4 linked regions of the Schizosaccharomyces pombe genome follow. Each later gene encodes a partner of the first gene's protein in a complex. Each region holds a gene or a part of one and is shown in the gene's direction. Other genes may lie near its edges.

Region 1 (3,697 bases):
CTATTTTACGGTAGTATCAAGCTCTGGGAAGTATGTACTCTCAATTAATGGTTATATTACGATAGTTGAACTTAACTTCACTATTGTTGCTAGTTGCCAGCGCTCGCTATCTGTATTTAGAATTAGAAGGTGAATTGAATTGAGAAATATAATCAATATAACAAAATTACAAGTATACGTTTGGTTTTATTTCTTCAAAGTTATTTTGGTATGAAAAAGTGAGATGCTGACAGATTTCAAGTCAAGAACTCTATATTTTTTAAAACCACTTCAACGAATTTTAGGATCTTGAAAAGTACATCATTTTTACTAATTATAGGAGGGTATTTTCAAAGGATATATTGTATGTAGCATCTAAATAATTTTTATGAAGGTCTCAAAGGGTTGACAACGGTTGTTTTTGGAAATACATTACATTGACCATAAACTGAAACGATGTATTTTACAAAAGGCAATTCAATTTTACAAACTTTCAGCTAAATATAAATTATGCCAGGATTCTCGTTCATTTGACTAGAATGTGTGCTTGTGATATTTGTTCTCGCATTGGTAAGTGCCCCGAAACCTCTTTGTAAGTGGCACCGTACCACAAATTGCATACATACAATCTATTATATCAGATATACAGTTTTATCTTGGGTGGTAGATAATAGATATATAATTTCCAATTCATATTTATATTGTTTTACCGGTTGATTGAAATTTGCCAACCAATTTAATAAAAAGCGTTTGTCAAGATGCCAATAGATACACCGTTGATACCCCATAAACCTATTTCAAGATATCGCTCTGGTAGATTGGAAGGGCTGGAAAGTGAGTCTTCTTCTGAAAGTGATTATGAAGAAGTTTCCGATTCACATGATCAAGAAAACTCGATTTCTTCATCAAGACATGTTATTACTCCAGTATTCGAGAAAGAAGGAATATCTGAAACCAAAACGTCTTCTAATTTCCAAAACATTAACCCAGTCCAAACAATTGATAACTCTGCTTCAGAATATGAGACTGACGCATCATCGGCAGAAGGGGGATCTAACTCTGCAGCATCTAGTTCTGAAGAAGAAGACTCTTCTGATTCGGAATATGAGATGGAGCTGAGAAGGCGGACACTTCTTCTTCCGCCAAAATTTACTAGTAAAGTCATCAAAAATCGGGCAAAAGCCAATGAAGAAGATACTGAGGTGCTTAAAAAAGTGACTTCACAAAAAATATTAGAAGAGACTATAAAACGGGAATTACTATTGAAAGAAACTAAAAACAATAATGAATTATTAAATGATATCGATGATACCGATGGAATTGATCCGCAAAGTGAATATGAATTATGGAAATTAAGGCATTTGCTTAGGAAAAAGAGAGACAAGGAAAAGTCACTGGAATTAGAAAGGGAAAAGATGGCAATTGAAGAAAGAAGATTAATGAATTCTGAGGAACGCGAAGCCCAAGATTTGAAGGACGCTGAAGCAAGTCGGAGAGGAAAGAAAAAGTCATCTATGCAGTTCTTACAAAAGTACTATCATAAGGGTGCATTCTATCAAAACGAAGATATTGTGAGTAAAAGAGATTATTCAGAAGCCACAGAAGGGGAAGTTCTTAATAAAGATTTATTACCCAAACCTATGCAAATTAGGGGAGATCTTTTTGCGAAGGCAGGCCAAACACGCTGGACGCATTTGGCAAATGAAGATACTACAAAAGAAGGATCTGCTTGGTATGATCCTAAAAACCCAATCTTGCAAAAAAATTTGCATCGTCTCGGTGGACTTCATTCTGACAGCCCACTCTCGAAGCGAAAACGTACCTAACATCTGTATATACATAAGGACAATTTTGTATTTCATTTAGCATTAATTTTATTTAACATCACATATATATTTAAATACAACATTCTTCTGAATTAATATCAAATGTGCACCACCCTTCCTCTTTGTAAGTGTTTAGCATAAGCATACCAATTCTTACCTTCCCGCAGTGCAAAGAGTACAACACATTTTTCGCCTTGGTCACCCATGTTACGAAGAGGTGCGCTTTCCACAATATTAAAAGGTTTAAACGGCCTTTCACTGCGTAGTCCCATACCGATTTGGCATGTTTCAGCTTCTCCCGAAGTTGGGTCGAAATATAACCTACCAACGGTTCCTACAACTTCACACGTTTCATATCGTCGTAAGTAAATTAAATACTTCTATTTCTAACTTCATTGCGTAGAAATCGCAAAAGCAAATTTCTTTGCTGGATATCGACCTTTGTCAGCTAATCAAATATGTGTGCCTAAAGTTGAGTCCAAAACACAAGTTTCGCAATCGCAGGATGAGGAAGATCAACCCCAGGAATATGTGTTATCTTTAGAGGATGGCTATTTGTATGCTCAATCATTCTCTGCATCTGGATCCGTAACTCAAACTCAACCCGCTCGTATATCTACTCAAGTATGGGAACAAATATGTGATAAGCTGATTTCTATTACACCTTTAGATTTGACCAGTGTCAAACGAAAAAGAAAATTGAAAATGAATAAACATAAGTTCAAAAAGCGCTTACGCCGACAACGAGCACTTAGGAAACGTCTAGGAAAATGAGATTATTAGAACTTATTTTTACTCGGGTTATATTTTTAGGTTGGTTGGATTGAGAGTTTAAGCTGTAAACAAGCATTTTCAAAATGGCTGCAAGCATTTATGAGTCTCTATTTTTAACTTGGATATCAGTACCTCTCTTTTCTTAAGAAACGTTTAATCATTTAATGTTTACTTCAGGCTTTTTTAACAAGGAATACATTTTCTCTCATGTATATTCTATCCTTTAATGTTCCGGTATGAGACAATTAGGTCGGTGCTTTTTTCTTGCGATAAAATCATTAAACAATCCGCGTTTATTTAACTATTTTCAAAAAGCGGAGCACTTATTTGTTTATGCCGGCTATCTCCTTCATATCAATTAGCTTCCCATGTCTAGTACTATTACAATACCTCCATCTTTGGCCCTTCCTTTTTATATTTTTAAATATTTGTCGATGGCTAGAATTAATGACATGTACACTTCATGTGAATCATAAATATGTTGTTGTATATCAAGCAATTAATAAACGCTTATTACACTGTATCTGTTTACACATAGAATAAAAGAACACATTGGTATGAAAAATAACTTTAGTAGTCGAAATTATTTCCTTAAAACAATTTTGAAAAAAAAAAAAAAAATTTCTACATTTCTTTCTTTAAAAAATGTTCTCACTGATTATAGCTAATTACAATAATGAAATGTAACGTACTGACGACTGACATAACAAATAACAACATAAGGAATATTGAAGAGCGTCCAACTGTATAATTTTTAAGGCTTTTGTTAATCTTGTCTTAACCGATCAAGTTATGCCAACATGCTTTCTAGAGAAGAGCAAAACCGGTGTTTCGTTCCTGTCCGACGAATTTTAGACAATGAAGACTTAAAATTATTTAAAGAAGGAGATGCTTATAAGTTAATTGATTCGTTTATTTGTGATCTTGACGAAGCTGTGAAAGACAAGCCTATTTCAGCTTCAATTCCGCAAAGCTCATCAATAGAGCATGTATTAAATATACTAGATCGAGTTGGAGAAATTAAACAGGAAAATCCTGCAATTGATAATATGGGGTCGAGGTTTGGCAATCCTGCATTTCAATCATTTTACGATCAGGTATACATTGAAACACCAAAG
Region 2 (5,205 bases), on another chromosome or scaffold:
TGTCTTTATCTTTGTAATGCTGCAACAAGAATTTTCGGCCAGCAGTTCCAATATTGTGGTTGTCTTCTAAATCTTTTACTAGCATACGCTCCGCTTCCTGAATAATTTTATTTCGACAATTTTTTCCTTCTTGAAGAGCAATGCCTTGCATAAACTTTGCAGTTTCAAAAAGATTGACAGCGGTAGGACGAGACTGTTTGAGATGCTCAAAGCTATTTATAACATATTCTTTTGCATCTGCATCTTCAGAAAGATGTTTTAATCCGACAGCCACACTCAAAGCTGCTACAATAGCAATAGCTGGGGCCCCACGAACTTGCATTTTTTTTATGACAGCGAATGCGTCTTCTACATTACTAACTGAAATGTATTTACGCTCGTACGGAAGAAGTAATTGGTCTAATACAAGAAGCTTGTCCTCATTATAAATGATTGCTTGCAACGACATTCTGCCCAAATTTTTGAATATCTCTGCCTTTGAAAACTTTTACTTCACTAGCGCACGAACGCACATGCATCAGATAAAATTAAAGGATTTGATGAAGCTCGTAGCGATGCATTAATAGAAATAATGAATTAATATAAAGTTACACTGTGTAGTTTACTTAGGAACAAAAAATAGTACATTAAGTTTAATATAAATTTATAAGAAGAGTTAACGCAGTCTTTCGTACTTTTGACACTGCTTATAGATAGATAAAATTAGCAACCCTAACTTAATATTGTGCTTCTTATTTATCCGCACTATTTGATATGCATCTAACATTTTGAACGCGTAAACAAAAAATTTAGACTCATTCAAAGATGTAAGTTCCATCGTCAAATTATATTACCAAGTTATTTTGATAATGAGTATGGTGCCTTGAATTATAGATTAAAAAATGTATCACCGAATTTATTTTTAATAATGAGTCGATCTGACATATTAGAATCAAGGAATAATAATATGCATTGATGTTTTATGAAGGAATTACAGCTGTAGAACCTATGTATACAAACTTCAAACTTTTAAAGATGAGAACGATATATTTTTTTCGTTTTCCAGAAAAGCCATGCTTGAAGTATTTATCAAGATGTTCGGTAGTGTCAATTTAATAATCATATGTGCGACTTTGACTTTGACATGCAGCAAGAAGTTGTTGACACCAACCTATCTGCTTGAAAAGTGATACTCGTTTGCAATACTTAAATATATATATATATATATCAGTGATCGCAAGTCAGTTTTGAATGCAGGATTGGTAAACAAGGGTCGCAAGTTAATATATTTATATAGCTGTCTGCTGTAACAGTTTAACATACAACCTTGAAACTGTAAAACATTGAATATTTTTCATTGTTAAAGCCAATTTAAATGAGAACGATTATTGTGTTACGAGGTAAGCATTTAATTCCAAAATCCCTATGTATTCTTGTAGTATAAAGTAATTTGAATGACAAATCAGTAGATTCTTCCATAATTGCAAGTAGGATGCCAGTCCCAAACCTTTAATTCCTAGCTCAAAAGCACAATTGTTCAGTTCACACTTTTGTTAACTTCCGGAATTTGTTATTGTAAAATAATTGTCTCCTCATAATTTTAAAAAATTACATCTCATTGCTGACTGAGAACTCTCATCATACTGGTCAATTTTAAATTGTGCTGAAAGCCTTATAATCACAAATATTCATGTTTAATCGAATTTTTTTGGTTTTCTTCACTATGGTGCATCAATAATATTTTTAGTACAGTACAATCACACCCACCTTTGAATTCTAAACTTTGACCTTCAAATGCAAATAAAAAATTTATAGTTAGATCGTTCCATCATAGTATAAATTACAGAATGATATTGCTTTTTTAAAATAAATGTTACCATCTACGTGTTTTTCAAGGTATTCACGCGCGAACGACATTTAAAATGATTTCGCTCCGCTTGTTTATGTTCAATTAAAACATTGATTAATAACCCCTTAGTCCTACGATAATTGTGTTAAACTGAATATGATGGTGGATGACAAGTGTAGCTCGACCATTACTCCCCACTCCAACCAAAAAATTTTGTTAAAAAAAAACACCTTTACAGTGTTTAATTGTTGGAATTTTGTTCTTGTGGTTTTCTTAACAAGTATTTTAAGTAACCGGCTAAAATATTAATCATGAAACGGTATATGTTTGGTACATTACCTCGCGTGCAACCGAAACGTTGTTTCCAGACAGCTATTGGCAAAGAATCACCGTATGTATTCAATCCTTTCCTCTAATTTAAGCTATAATTTTGTACATTCTAACCCCAATTTATTAGCAAAGGGAACAGCGAAAAGGATCAACTTTTTGAGAATCCATTTTTTCAACAGCTTCCTTCCAACGTTGCAGCTGTATATTTGAACCCTGTTAAATTCAATCCTTCTGAAAACGACGTACTTTGTGCTTCTCTAAAAATTAAAAGCTTTGAAACTCCAAAACTTGATACGTTTACCGACTTCATTTGTCGAACAGCGTATTACATGAAAATTCCAATCAAGGGTCCACGTCCATTACCCAACAAAGTAGAAAGCTGGACTTTACTCCGATCACCTTTTATTCACAAATCTTCTCAGGAGAATTTTGAACGTATTACGCACTCTCGACTTATACAACTGTACAGTGTCAATCCAGTTACTTTAGAAACGTTTTTTAGTTATTTACGAAAATGCAACATGTGGGATTTAAAATTGCAAGCAAAAGCTTATGAATACGAATCCATCGATGATGCCCTTAAAAACTTCGAGTCACAGTCTAAGTCTACTGATAATTTCAAAGAATTGTTAAACGGTCCTTCGAAAAAAGATATAATCACACAAAATGCCGAAAAATTGCTCAGAAACGACCCCATTTACAAAGATTTGTTAAAAAATTCATCTCGAAAATAAAAATTAACTAATGTGTTTTCAATTACTCTGATGTTGGACCGTTTATTAGCAAAAATACTCTGACTGTATTCGTACTTTTTTTTTTAACAATATGACACTAGCTTTTCTTCATTAAAAGTGTTCTTTAACTAAAAACGTTACGAATAGTCCACACTTGTTTCGTTAGTTTTCCTCACCAGTAATTTTTGAAGTTTCTTGGGGATTGCTTTTCGAAAGAACAAAACCCGCAAGTGCCTTAGGTCCTTCAGATTTTTCCATTTCAAGCTGTTCCATTGGATCCATTGGTGCTGCTGCACTTTCAATTTTAGCTGCTCTCTTCGCTATATGAAGGGAATCAGTGCTAAACTTAGTTTGTACAGACCGTTTAATACGAAGCATTTCTTTAACTGTTTCTTCTGGATTTCCGTACCTTATTTCAAATTCTTGCCATGCTTTCCAATAATCCGTTTCAACTCTTGGATCACAGTATTGACTTCCATGAATATATATTAAACGAGCACGATCGATTTCACCAAGTTTCGTCTCCATTTCAGCAAACCTTAAGCACATATCTTTGACTTCTGAGTCACTCAGGGATTCAATAGCCTTCTCATAAACTGTCCTTGTCGCCAGTACACCATAATTTAATGCCACTTTAACGAGTAACACATTGTAAATAGCAAGACGGTCTGCTGTTTTAACCTTGTCGGCCGCTTTTTCTAAAATAGAAATGGATCTTTTTGCTTTGCCAAACTTTTCTTCGAAATCGGCATACAGAAGATAAATACTTTTCGAAAATTCGGGCGGACATCCTTCTAATGCTTGTTCAAATAAATCCCTGGTCCTTTCCATATGCGTTCCTTGATATCGTTTAACAAATTTTGTTAAATATAAATTCCAAAGTTCAAAAGCCACGGGATAACTAAATAACGCAACACCTCTCTCATAAATTTTAAATGAATCTTCAAAATAAGCATTCTCCTCTAAGAGATTTGCATAATTGACAACCACCTGGGGAGTAGCAATTTTTAGTTCAAAGACGCGGTCGTACAATTTGCGTGTAGTTTCAATCGTACCAACGCTTTCCTCAAGATCAAGATAATACATCCATATCTTAGATGACTTGTGTAGCCGTACTTGTGGACTGAGTGATTCATCAAAAAAGCTGATATGACTTTTTCTAGGAGCATGAACGGCATCTCCTATTAATTTTCTCGCAGCGTCAAAATTTTGATGTCGAAGTTCCATCTCGGCCCAGTCAATCCAAACTTGTGCTAACTCATTGACTGTTTTATATGGTACATGAGTAGCCTTTTCAAAAATTATCCTTGATTGTTCTAAATCATCAAAATTTTCATAAAAACGAGCAAACTCTGAAAACAATTTGCCGAGGGAGCCATGCGCCAGCTTTGGATTTACATTTTTTATAGCGTCTGTGTAAACTTGAACAACTTTTTCGCTGTCGTCTTCTAAAAACTTGACTCGGCGAAGCCATTCGTCAACGTTATTTATATTTTGCCTTAATAATACATCATTGATATAAAGCGGACGTTTGTCAAGTATTTTCTCGAGCCAGGCCATATGAAAATCGATACTTAATTCGTCATTTGCATTTCCGCTGCTTGCTTCAACTCGTGCAGATAGCCATTGCTCTTCGAATTCAACAAAAGCATCGAATATAATTGTAAAATTTCTTACAGTCATTATGTTATTCATCCCTTCATAGAATGTGCTTCTTGCCTGTACGATAAGTTAGTTTTTGCAATAAGGGGTCAATAAACAAACCAGTTAAACATACCTTCTCGTAGTCACCAATGCGTATATAATATTGTGCCAAATAAGTCCATAGTTTCCCTGCTTGATCAGAAAACCTTTTAATGCCAGCTCTAAAAACCTTTTCTACGTCTATGTTTTGCGTATGGTCAGGATGCTGAACAACTAACTCGGAAAACTCGAGCCATATCTGATAATTGCTCTTCCTTTTTGCTGATAAAAACACGGGCCGATTTAAAATATCCTCATATTGTCGAGCAGCTTCATTCCACAGCCCTAATTTACAAAGTATCTCAATGTAGTTTTCAATTGCTCTTGGTTCTACTTGTATATATCTGCGGTAGACATGGATGCAAAATAATCCTCCAATATCTTCAGCATATTTCGTAAACATGTCCCAAATATCATCGTGCTGAGTTACCGGTAAGGCGCGAAGTGCAGAGTTAAATGTACAACGAATCTTAGTGACATTTGGTTGTTTCATCAAAAATTGTAAATATAGTTTCCAAATAACAGGCATTTTATGCAATAAAATCAAAGAGCGCTCAAAACAATCGTTTA
Region 3 (3,169 bases), 1.7 Mb from region 1:
TTGTACGGACAGATATGGTTGATGGATCAGCTGAAGCTAATAACAAATTCATTTCCGTAACAATATCTTGGAGAGACGTCGGGTCATCTGATCGCAACTGCCCTCCACAATTGAGGACAATTTTGAGCAGCATTTCAACGTTCAATTCGGTTAAAGAGCGTAAAAAAAGGCGAATCAAATCATAAACAAGAACACATGAAACAAGTTGAAAATTATACAACTCAACAAAAAATACAATCAAGTTAGAAGTCTCCTTATGGGAAGAAAGAGGTTCTTTCTCTTTTGATTTATAAAGCTGCAAAAAACGTTCCACTAGGGTTTGCAATAGATGAGCACCAAAGTCATTGCCTACAATGCGGTAAAGAGCAGTGGCTAACGCAGCATATACTATGGCCAATTGATCTAGCATAGATTCTCTTCCCATTACGGTTTGTAGTAGCAAATTGGTGATGGTAGACGTGACTGAGTGTCTTGAATTTTCCATGTAAAGGACTTCAATCTCCTTAATAATTGAAGAAATATTTGCGATAGACAATTTGTTTAGCGATCCTTGTAATTTCCGACGAAGTCGCAGAGCATCTTCTGACTCCTTATCTCCCCCTAATTTTTTCCGTAAAGATGGAGGGACATACTTTGAGCCGACGTTCGCATTAGGTAAGGATGGGACTGCAGGCTTCAAAGGATCCATCCGAATCGGCTTAGTTTCAGGTTGATGGAATTCATCAGAATTAGACTCAAACCCATGAAACTCTTCCTCCTCCTCACCCGAATTTCCTTCCCTTTCACTTTCCAACTCATCAACGCTACCATGGTCACCTGTATCGTCTGAAACTTCAGAGTCTTCTGAATGACCATATGAAGGATCTTCAGTGCCCGGAACGCCTATGTCATCAATTTCTTGATCTAGGTCTTCTAAAAGCCATCCAAATTCCTTGTCAATTTTTGAGTGAGCAGATTTATCTTTGCTTTTGATGCCAAGCATCTTTTCTAAATGAGCGATTTCACGATCATCCTCTTCCAAAGCAATCTTATGCTGAAAAGCAATGGGATCGAGTAATTTACTCTCCTTTGCCTGTTTATTCTGTGAAGATTTTTTTTTTGTAGATGACTTTCTGTGAGCATCTAAGTAATCATCATTAAGTTCAGAAGACTTACTATCACCTTCTTCTGTAATCTTCCGGTTTTCATAACCATTTTTTCCTCGAGAGATCCTAGCAAATTTTCTTTTTTCACGATGAGGTAGATTATGATTTCGCTTTCCCCGCCTAGCACTCGAATCTATCAATTTGGTTAAATATACTGACCAAATCTATAAAAAAAAGCTTACCAGATTCTCCTATCTCTTCTAAAATACTTTTGGGCAGTTTTAAGCTTCTGCTTTTTTTAATTGGCCTCATACTATCGAATGTTTAAATATTAAACAAACGATAATTAATACTAAAGCTCAAGAACTACCAAATTTTTCAATTAAACGATACCAAAAACTGGTATAATTGCTTTACAAAGAGAAGAATTGGGCCTCAGTCTCGAGTTGGCGTATCGTTTCAAATGAATTTCACAACACTGCTAATGGAACTGTATACAATATCGCAATTTGTTAATGCTATTTAAAGTTGTCACTCTGCTGCTGTATTTTACATTAACGCTCTATGTAGTATCACACTAATAAAGCATATCGAAGTGGAAATGTTGCAATCGTGCAGCGATTTCAAAGTCTTAAAGTACTACTACACCAAACGGGCTTTCATTTTGCTCGAGTCATTCGTGTCTGTATTATGCTTTCACGGAAATTATCACCGGAGCAACTTGTAGCTCGTCGTTTAAAAATACGTGACTGGAATCACAAAATAGGTGCAGTTGTAGCTCCCCATTATTCACCGACATTATCCATTCGAAATCCGGCACCTCCTAGTCAACTTAGTCTTCCTTTATTGTTGTCTTCTGGTGCTCATTTAGGACACTCTACATCCATATGGAATCCTTACACGCAGCCCTTTATATATGGTAAAAGAGAAGGTATTCACATAATATCATTGGATCAAACCATGGTTTACCTACGAAGAGCTATATCCGTCGTTAGATCAATAGCTAAAGAAAATGGAATTATATTGTTCATTGGCACCAGAAACGGCCAGAAAGATTCTGTCGTTGCTGCTGCCAAACGTGCTAGAGGTTATCACATATTTGATCGTTGGCTACCAGGACTTCTCACCAATGCCAGAGAAGTACAAGGAAAGCTTGGCGGTTCAATTTTATGTAAAGATAATAGAGGGAAATTGATTCAAACTGATAAAAAACCAAGTTATGTCTTTCCTGATTTGATGGTTATACTAAACCCATTAGAAAACAAAAGTGCTTGTCTAGAGGCACAGAAAACTCATGTTCCAACAATTGGAATCATTGATACTGATGCGGATCCAAGGATGGTTACCTATCCTATTCCAGCAAATGATGATTCTTTACGGTGTACAGATTTAATAGCTGGTTTACTGAGTAGGGTAGCTGAGCAAGAGTACCAAAAAGCTAACCAAGCCTTCGAAAAAGATAAATTTACACTTCCTTTATGATTCCCCTCTCATTGTTTTGAAAATGCCTGTATTCTTTGATTTTTCTAAACATGATTAAAGATAAGGTCTGATTAATTTTCACTAGTATTCAATAAAATTAATGATTCGTAAACGAAAGGTTAAAAAGAAAGAATAAATTATTATGGATAACGTATATATCACATTTCAATGATTTGATGCCAAAATTTTTGTTAAAGACAGACATATTTTGCTGTGCGAAAGGAAATCATCGGTATGCTTTCACATTTTCTATAAACTCTTTTTTCAATTGTTGAATAGTCATCTTTCTAGTATCCCTTGAATTATGATTGTGTCTACTAGATACACTGAGAATTTCTTTGTCAACTTCGTCTTCTCCAATGACAATTTCATAATTATAATTTAAAAGTCTTGATTCACGTAGCCGTTTGCCAATAGATTGTGCTTCAGCGTTTATGTCCACATAATAGGTATTTTTATTGAGTGGGAGAAATTCAGATTCATTGACTTCCTGATTAGACAATTCCTTTTGTACTTGCTTAGCATAAGTTAGAATTCGATCTGTTTGATTGACTGGTAAAATGACAGCATGTCTAGGACTTAGCCAAAATGGCCAGTGTCCA
Region 4 (6,259 bases), on another chromosome or scaffold:
TCTTTGGGCCTTTTAGTGTACGGGAATCCCACTGGAAAAAGCTCGATGAAGGACAAGATTTGAAACAGGTTAGTACTAGGCTTTTAAGCACTAACGGTCACCCTGGTATTTCTGTGAATGAAGCAAAAATCAAGTCTGGTGAATCTCCATATGAGAAATATTACCGTCTTCAGGGTGTTGTTGAGACAGTAACATCTGGTGTTGCTGCCAATGGGTCTTCATAATCTACGACTTCTCATTAAAAAGAAATTTTCATAGTCAAATTATCAATGCTATATCTCGTTGCATTTCCTACTTCTTAAAAAGCAGTTTGTTTAGGGAAAGGAGTACTCAAACGCACCTTAATGTCATTGTAAAGTCATTGCTAGACTGCATGGGTATACAAATCTTAAAATTATTTGTACATGAATAACAAATTATCTAAAGGAGCTAGAGAAGAGACGTAAATGTTTTAAACTTTCATTAAAACAATATGTAAAAACCCATCAATGTAACAGAAATCTCGATTGAGCTCGTCTAAAACGCTCTGAAGAAAAATTGTAATACCATGAATAACTGGTTTAACTATTAAGAATTTATCACATGATGGAAACAAGTCGGGAAGGCGTTTATTGAGAAACTCACCAAGAGAACTACCAAGAGGTGCAGAAGTTTGTATAATAGGAGCATTGGCCCCTAAATAAATTTTTAAAGGAATGAATTTGGATTTTGAAAAAAGTATTTTTATAGCAATGGGACGGAAATCATAGTAATCATGATTGAGTATTGCATTCCAGTAGGTGTCTGTTTCTGCCTTTGAAAGAGCGATTATTCCAGACGAACTTCCGTTACGAACGTAATCAGACTGTAAAAAGTTAATATGGATTTACCCCTTTTGTAAATAAATCATATATGTTTTTGTGATAGAGAACGCACCTCTTTTAAGCAGTTGAAAAAATATGTTCGAAAAGTATCCATGGTTTCCATTTGAAGTATTTTGGTTGTAGGAAATAGACCTGAGCGCAATTGAATGCGCCATAGCACCGGCGCTCGAGGAGTATCCGGATCAAACACTGTTAACAAATCGAAAAGTAAGCCAACAGGCCAATGCCTATATTATGATTAATTTACGGAAAGTTACTTTGGGTAAACGATACCATTTAAGAGGAACCCCATTATAATCCAACCAACATTCTGATAAAGGGATTGAAGGTGCCAACAGACGTTGAACATTTGGGAGTATTTGAGCAAAATATGATTGTCGCGGGACGTTAGCCTTAGGTAGAATATGGTGAGCAAAAAGGAAAAAATAAATTGAGTTAAAGAATATTAAATTACTACTTGAGTGAACAAATCACATACTAGATAGGCCAGAGAATTACCTTCATAATCAATGCGCACAGAAATAGTGCCATTCCAAAGGAGCTCTGGAATATTGCCTTTATTATTATCGACATTCATTTTTAAAAAACATCTCCAATACTGTGATTAGAAATTGTGCTTTTGTTGTATACTTAACAAACTCGTGGGTGGTTGGAATGCGTTGATAAATAGCTTAGAGTCAGACATTCACTATAATTAGTTAAATTAATGTTTTTACAATTAAAGTAAGTGGGCTTTAAATACACATAGTAGAGTCTTCAAAAAATTCACCCGAAAATATAACTGGTAATTTATATGTTCAAAATACGAGTTCCTGCTATACAAAAACCGCAATTAGGAATTTGTAGATTCACTGTATTGATTAGTTAATAGACACGTAATGACTTTTCGGAAGTAGAAGTTTGAGATATTCAAGGGACTTGAAAGTTTGCATGCAGTAAATCTCATAAAAGAATTAAAAGCAAGGATTTATATAGCTAATAATTGCAGGCACTAAGCTTGACATGGTCGCACTATGAGTCGCTAGTACGTTTGTGAGACTTTCGCATACGTTCCAGAAACTGTACACAACTTATTTAAACAACCAAATATTTTTAAAACAATACTGGTAAATATGTTGATCTTGAAGAGGATTTTCATTATAAGAAATTTTATATTTCCTTTTTCTAACTGCCGGTATGCCTCTACTGTTCCTAGTCCAAGATCAGGTATGAGATTTCAAAACATTAGTGCAATTTAAATTCCTAACAAGATTCAGGGATTTCTAATACAAATGATTTCTTTAAAAGAATTGGAAGAGATACTGCAGAAAAAGTGAACGGAAAATTCGAGTCTTGGGATGGTCTATTTAGGAAAAGTACAAAAACTATGAAAAAGGAAGGTATTGATGTACGTACAAGGAAATACATTGCAAGCCAAAGAAACCGATTTAAAGAAGGGTTTATAGTTAAGCCATATCCAGTTATGGTTAAAAAGAATGGAGGTGAGCGACGCAAACGTAAATAATAAGTATATGGAATATTATATTCTTTTGAGACATTCTTTCTTCTTTTTGTAGTTGAGTTTTTGCTTGAGTTCGAATTAATCTAAAATTTGCTTAAAATAGCCAACACTGTTCAAAGCATGTCTTTTCTCGACGAAGATGTGGAGCCTAGAACGCAAAGCCGATTAAACAATTGTCCATGAAACCATTTAGCAAATTCTGGAGAATTTTCCATTAGTGCGGAATTGGCGCTAGGGTATTGTCTCCCTCTTTCCAAGTTATTTTCATTTGTTTCGTTCACGGGCTTCCATTCCCACTCTCCTGCCCAGATTAATTTAGCTTCAATTTTTTCTCTAGTCCTAATATATAAAAAATTTTCTTTTAGCTCCATTAAGTCTACACCATCGCTAAATTCCTTTAGGACTGATGTATACTCAATAACTTGTTGATCATTGCCGGATACCATCCAAACTATACGTATAGTTGGTATTTCTATTTAATGGTTATAAATTTTTAACTTCAGCTGCACCTTAAATCGTTTGTTAGCAGATTCTTTTTGAGTATGTGTGCAAAGGTATTCGTTTGCGTTTGCGTCAAAGGGCTTGGTCAATTAGATGAGCCAACTGTGGTAAATTTTTATGTTAGGTTGATATCAATATGAACAGCAAATTTACTCTAAATGTGTACTTAAAGGCATAAGGAATATTTATACTATGTCATTAATCTTCTAGTACTAATCTTGGGCATTCGTTTCTTTTGGCATGGAAATTCGCTGTCGCGTTATCACAAGCCCTGGAGAACTAATTTCTTTGACCGCATTAGTTGTGTTGAGTGATTCCTCATCATTTTTGCCTATTTTTTTTAACTCTAAACTTTCATGCTCAGTGAATACATCATCGAAATCTTTTGCATCCTGGATGGATCGTTTAATTCTTTTATCGCGGATTTGCATGTAACTAACAATACAAGAGCTAACAAAGACTATTCCTCCTACCACCAGCAAACCAATTAATCCTTTTATAAATCGAGGCGTATCAGTATTGGGATACATTATAGGTGCCCACCAAATATGCCAGATATTCTGACACATATTCATCAAAAACACAACAACTCCTCTTTCCTGATCATTATCCCGGCAAATGTCATTTGCCCAAGAAAACCAAACTGCTTGTCCAGCATATGTACAACCAGAAGCGAAATAAGCAAAGAATTTTGCGCCATCTGGCACGTTCCATGCTAGAAGTATTGTAGCAGAAACAGTAGTAATTACGCACAGAAAAAGTCCAAAAGGCCATCTTGGGTTTCCAGCTAATTTATCAGAAATAACACTAGCACCTAACGTTGATACTACGCCAACAGCTGTAATCACAGTTGGGTAATTATTTATTTGGGCAACAGAAAATTTGTTGCTCCATTTCATCCACTGACCCATCAATACATTGACAGCTATAGCTTGTGTTTCTCCGCTAAAAATCCAAAGGATGCACAAACCGTAAATTCGCCATGAACGTACAATATCCTTTATCGCTTTTAGCGTTAATGGCTTCTTCTTGGGGCGAGCGGGTAGCCTTTTGAAACTTAATTCTTTTTCTTGTTCTGTAAAATAAGGAGCCTTGGTTGTTTCTGGAACGTCAGGAAACAGAAAGAGCCCATATAATGAAAGAGGAATCGTCAAAATGCCATCAATTATAAAAAGCCAACGCCAACCAGATAAACCACCTTTACCATTTAATGATGAATGAACTGCTGTTTGCAAATACCCAGCAAACATTGTGCCGACTAAACCAGAGGCTGAAAAAATTCCGGCACGTTTGCATAGTTCACTTTCTTTGTACCATGCGCCCAATATATAATGCGTACCAGCAAATGTAGATGCCTCCGCAACCGCCATGAAAAAGCGTAAAATCATCAATGCTCGAACGGAATGTACCGCAAATGAAAAAATCGTCATAAGTCCCCATAAAATATTCATAACCGAAAACCAAAGTCTTGCTGGTACTCTCTGTAATGCATAAGAACCTGGCAATTGTCCTATAATGTATCCACATGTAAAAACAACGTTTATATCTTGCAATTCATTACCATGCATTTTCAAATCCTCTTGCATACCACTAAGGTATGCATTGTTTATTGATGATCTATCCAAGTAATTAATAAAATATGAAACGCAACAGTAAGAAAGTATGAACCAATCTATTTTTATTAAAAGCTTTTGTTCAACTTTGTTTAATCCATAATAAGGGGAAAAGGTTTTTGCCAACCTATTTAGTAACGCCATTACGACTTGTCTCACTTATGAAATATTCACGACAATTTACAGAGGAGACCTAACTTAAATTTTTATGGCTTTAGAAAACGTACAATTTCAATGGATTCTCATGAAAAGTGCCTATATTAAAGTAAAGCCAGGGACCTAAGCAAGGAACAAACACTTCGAGTCAAAATCGAATTGCAGACTGTTGGAATATCAATATGCTCCAGCCAGGAAAATTTTTTCTTTAATTTTTCTGAAAAATCAAGATTATAAGTATCGATCGAGCCTTCTAAAAAGTGACAATATCAATGCCGGAAACCCAATCTTAATTTTTAGATGTGCGCTGATTACTCGGAATTGGCTAGCAAGTTGGATACTTATTCTCGACGTAGCCACAATGAGTACTATACTTTGCTGCTCTATTTGTGGAAATTAACTGTATTGCAAAAAACATCTAACCTTTCAATTAATAAGCATTCGGTTCAAGTGGCTACAATACAATAACCACTATTTGCGAGATTAAACATACTATTACAGTAACCAACACATTTGAAATGTAAAAAATTGCCATAGTTGAAGCTATTCAGCGTCAGCGAACATCTTCGGAGAGCTCAAATAATCTTAGCTCTTAAGATGGGGGTTTTTTCTGCCGAATACTGTATCTGTTTGACTTTTATTTTTAATACGTTGGAGTAACCGCTGTATTCTTGTGCAACTTGGTGTTTTTGAAATTAACAATGGCACTGTTGATGAACGAAAGTGAATTATAATACATTTTTTGACAGTACCAATCTTATGGAAGTGCCTTGAAATCCTGTTACGTTACGTTTTAGCAAGATCGCTTCTCTTATGATTTTCTTGTTTCAATGGTTTTCTACCCATAATCAATGAAATATGTTTACAAGGGTTACGAGTTTTGTAAAGCAAATGCACTTTAAAAATTGACCAGAAACTTCCATATATTAGAACCAAAATTTTTTGGAATACATTTTAACATAGTAAATTAAAATAAGCCGTTTACTTATTCTAATTTACAGAAGCGCTTCTATAATGTTTAAGTAACGAACGTTTTTGTCACCCAACACCACCCAACTTCGTATCCCAAGATTTATAACTTGTTCGGACAAACATCGTTGGTAAAGACTTGCATCGTTCATTACAGAACGAATTTTATTATTTATAGTTCACATTTGTGAATCTTAAGATGCAATGTCTGCTGAGGGAAAAGCCAAGATCCTTGGCCTTAGTCAATAAGGACCATGCTCTTATGTTTCATTCGGTTCCTCAGAACAAAAACTCTTTATCAGTATGTGTTGCAGAATTTACGGCATTGTCAGAAAAGCCGTTAGAAGGATTTCGAAAAATCTCCAGTCATCGAATTTATGGTACTCTAGGTCTGATTGAATTAGAAGGGTCCAATTTTTTGTGCGTGATTAGTGGAGCTAGTGAGGTAGCACGTGTGCGAGATAAAGAAAGAGTTTTTCGTATCATGGAGGTCTGCTTTTACAGTGTTAATCGTTCAAACTGGGATCACATTCGACAAGAAAATTACTCGCCTGATATTCCGGATGGTTACGATACCGATACCCAAGGCTATGATTCTTACAAGTATGCCGCTGAACCATTCAGTAGTCTCAGAAAGCTATTAACAAATGGATCAT

What was found.
Region 2: cox24 (region 1) and rsm10 share a complex: the UniProt entries of both Schizosaccharomyces pombe proteins name them as parts of the mitochondrial small ribosomal subunit.
Region 3: cox24 (region 1) and mrp4 share a complex: the UniProt entries of both Schizosaccharomyces pombe proteins name them as parts of the mitochondrial small ribosomal subunit.
Region 4: cox24 (region 1) and fyv4 share a complex: the UniProt entries of both Schizosaccharomyces pombe proteins name them as parts of the mitochondrial small ribosomal subunit.

The regions. Positions count from the first base shown.
Region 1 is NC_003424.3:4,761,070-4,764,766, forward strand, and holds cox24 (mitochondrial 37S ribosomal protein mS38 ), read left to right. Parts: upstream 1-1,973; 5' UTR 1,974-2,009; coding exon 2,010-2,166; exon of another isoform or gene 2,167-2,208; coding exon 2,209-2,579; 3' UTR 2,580-3,153; downstream 3,154-3,697. Other genes in the region: splicing-associated factor Saf3, read left to right, coding at 738-1,805; ypa2 (serine/threonine-protein phosphatase 2A activator 2), read left to right, coding at 3,380-3,697. UniProt on the Schizosaccharomyces pombe protein: Component of the mitochondrial ribosome (mitoribosome), a dedicated translation machinery responsible for the synthesis of mitochondrial genome-encoded proteins, including at least some of the essential transmembrane subunits of the mitochondrial respiratory chain.
Region 2 is NC_003423.3:3,868,154-3,873,358, forward strand, and holds rsm10 (mitochondrial 37S ribosomal protein uS10m), read left to right. Parts: upstream 1-2,014; 5' UTR 2,015-2,139; coding exon 2,140-2,219; intron 2,220-2,285; coding exon 2,286-2,892; 3' UTR 2,893-3,054; coding exon of another isoform or gene 3,055-4,611; 3' UTR 4,612-4,667; downstream 4,668-5,205. Other genes in the region: mri1 (methylthioribose-1-phosphate isomerase), read right to left, coding at 1-448; protein Cwf3, read right to left, coding at 3,055-4,611, 4,670-5,205. UniProt on the Schizosaccharomyces pombe protein: Component of the mitochondrial ribosome (mitoribosome), a dedicated translation machinery responsible for the synthesis of mitochondrial genome-encoded proteins, including at least some of the essential transmembrane subunits of the mitochondrial respiratory chain.
Region 3 is NC_003424.3:3,064,816-3,067,984, reverse strand, and holds mrp4 (mitochondrial 37S ribosomal protein uS2m), read left to right. Parts: upstream 1-1,718; 5' UTR 1,719-1,775; coding exon 1,776-2,567; 3' UTR 2,568-2,659; downstream 2,660-3,169. Other genes in the region: sgd1 (ribosome small subunit biogenesis protein), read right to left, coding at 1-1,278, 1,328-1,397; SPOM_SPAC24C9.09 (threonine--tRNA (Thr) ligase), read right to left, coding at 2,794-3,169. UniProt on the Schizosaccharomyces pombe protein: Component of the mitochondrial ribosome (mitoribosome), a dedicated translation machinery responsible for the synthesis of mitochondrial genome-encoded proteins, including at least some of the essential transmembrane subunits of the mitochondrial respiratory chain.
Region 4 is NC_003423.3:3,431,751-3,438,009, forward strand, and holds fyv4 (mitochondrial 37S ribosomal protein mS41 ), read left to right. Parts: upstream 1-1,917; 5' UTR 1,918-1,975; coding exon 1,976-2,069; exon of another isoform or gene 2,070-2,119; coding exon 2,120-2,367; 3' UTR 2,368-2,477; coding exon of another isoform or gene 2,478-2,810; 3' UTR 2,811-3,077; coding exon of another isoform or gene 3,078-4,622; 3' UTR 4,623-5,758; downstream 5,759-6,259. Other genes in the region: U1 snRNP-associated protein Prp39, read left to right, coding at 1-224; autophagy-associated protein Atg5, read right to left, coding at 452-844, 916-1,090, 1,137-1,255, 1,342-1,440; SPOM_SPBC4B4.12C (uncharacterized protein), read right to left, coding at 2,478-2,810; plasma membrane pantothenate transmembrane transporter Liz1, read right to left, coding at 3,078-4,622; syj1 (inositol-1,4,5-trisphosphate 5-phosphatase 1), read left to right, coding at 5,803-6,259. UniProt on the Schizosaccharomyces pombe protein: Component of the mitochondrial ribosome (mitoribosome), a dedicated translation machinery responsible for the synthesis of mitochondrial genome-encoded proteins, including at least some of the essential transmembrane subunits of the mitochondrial respiratory chain.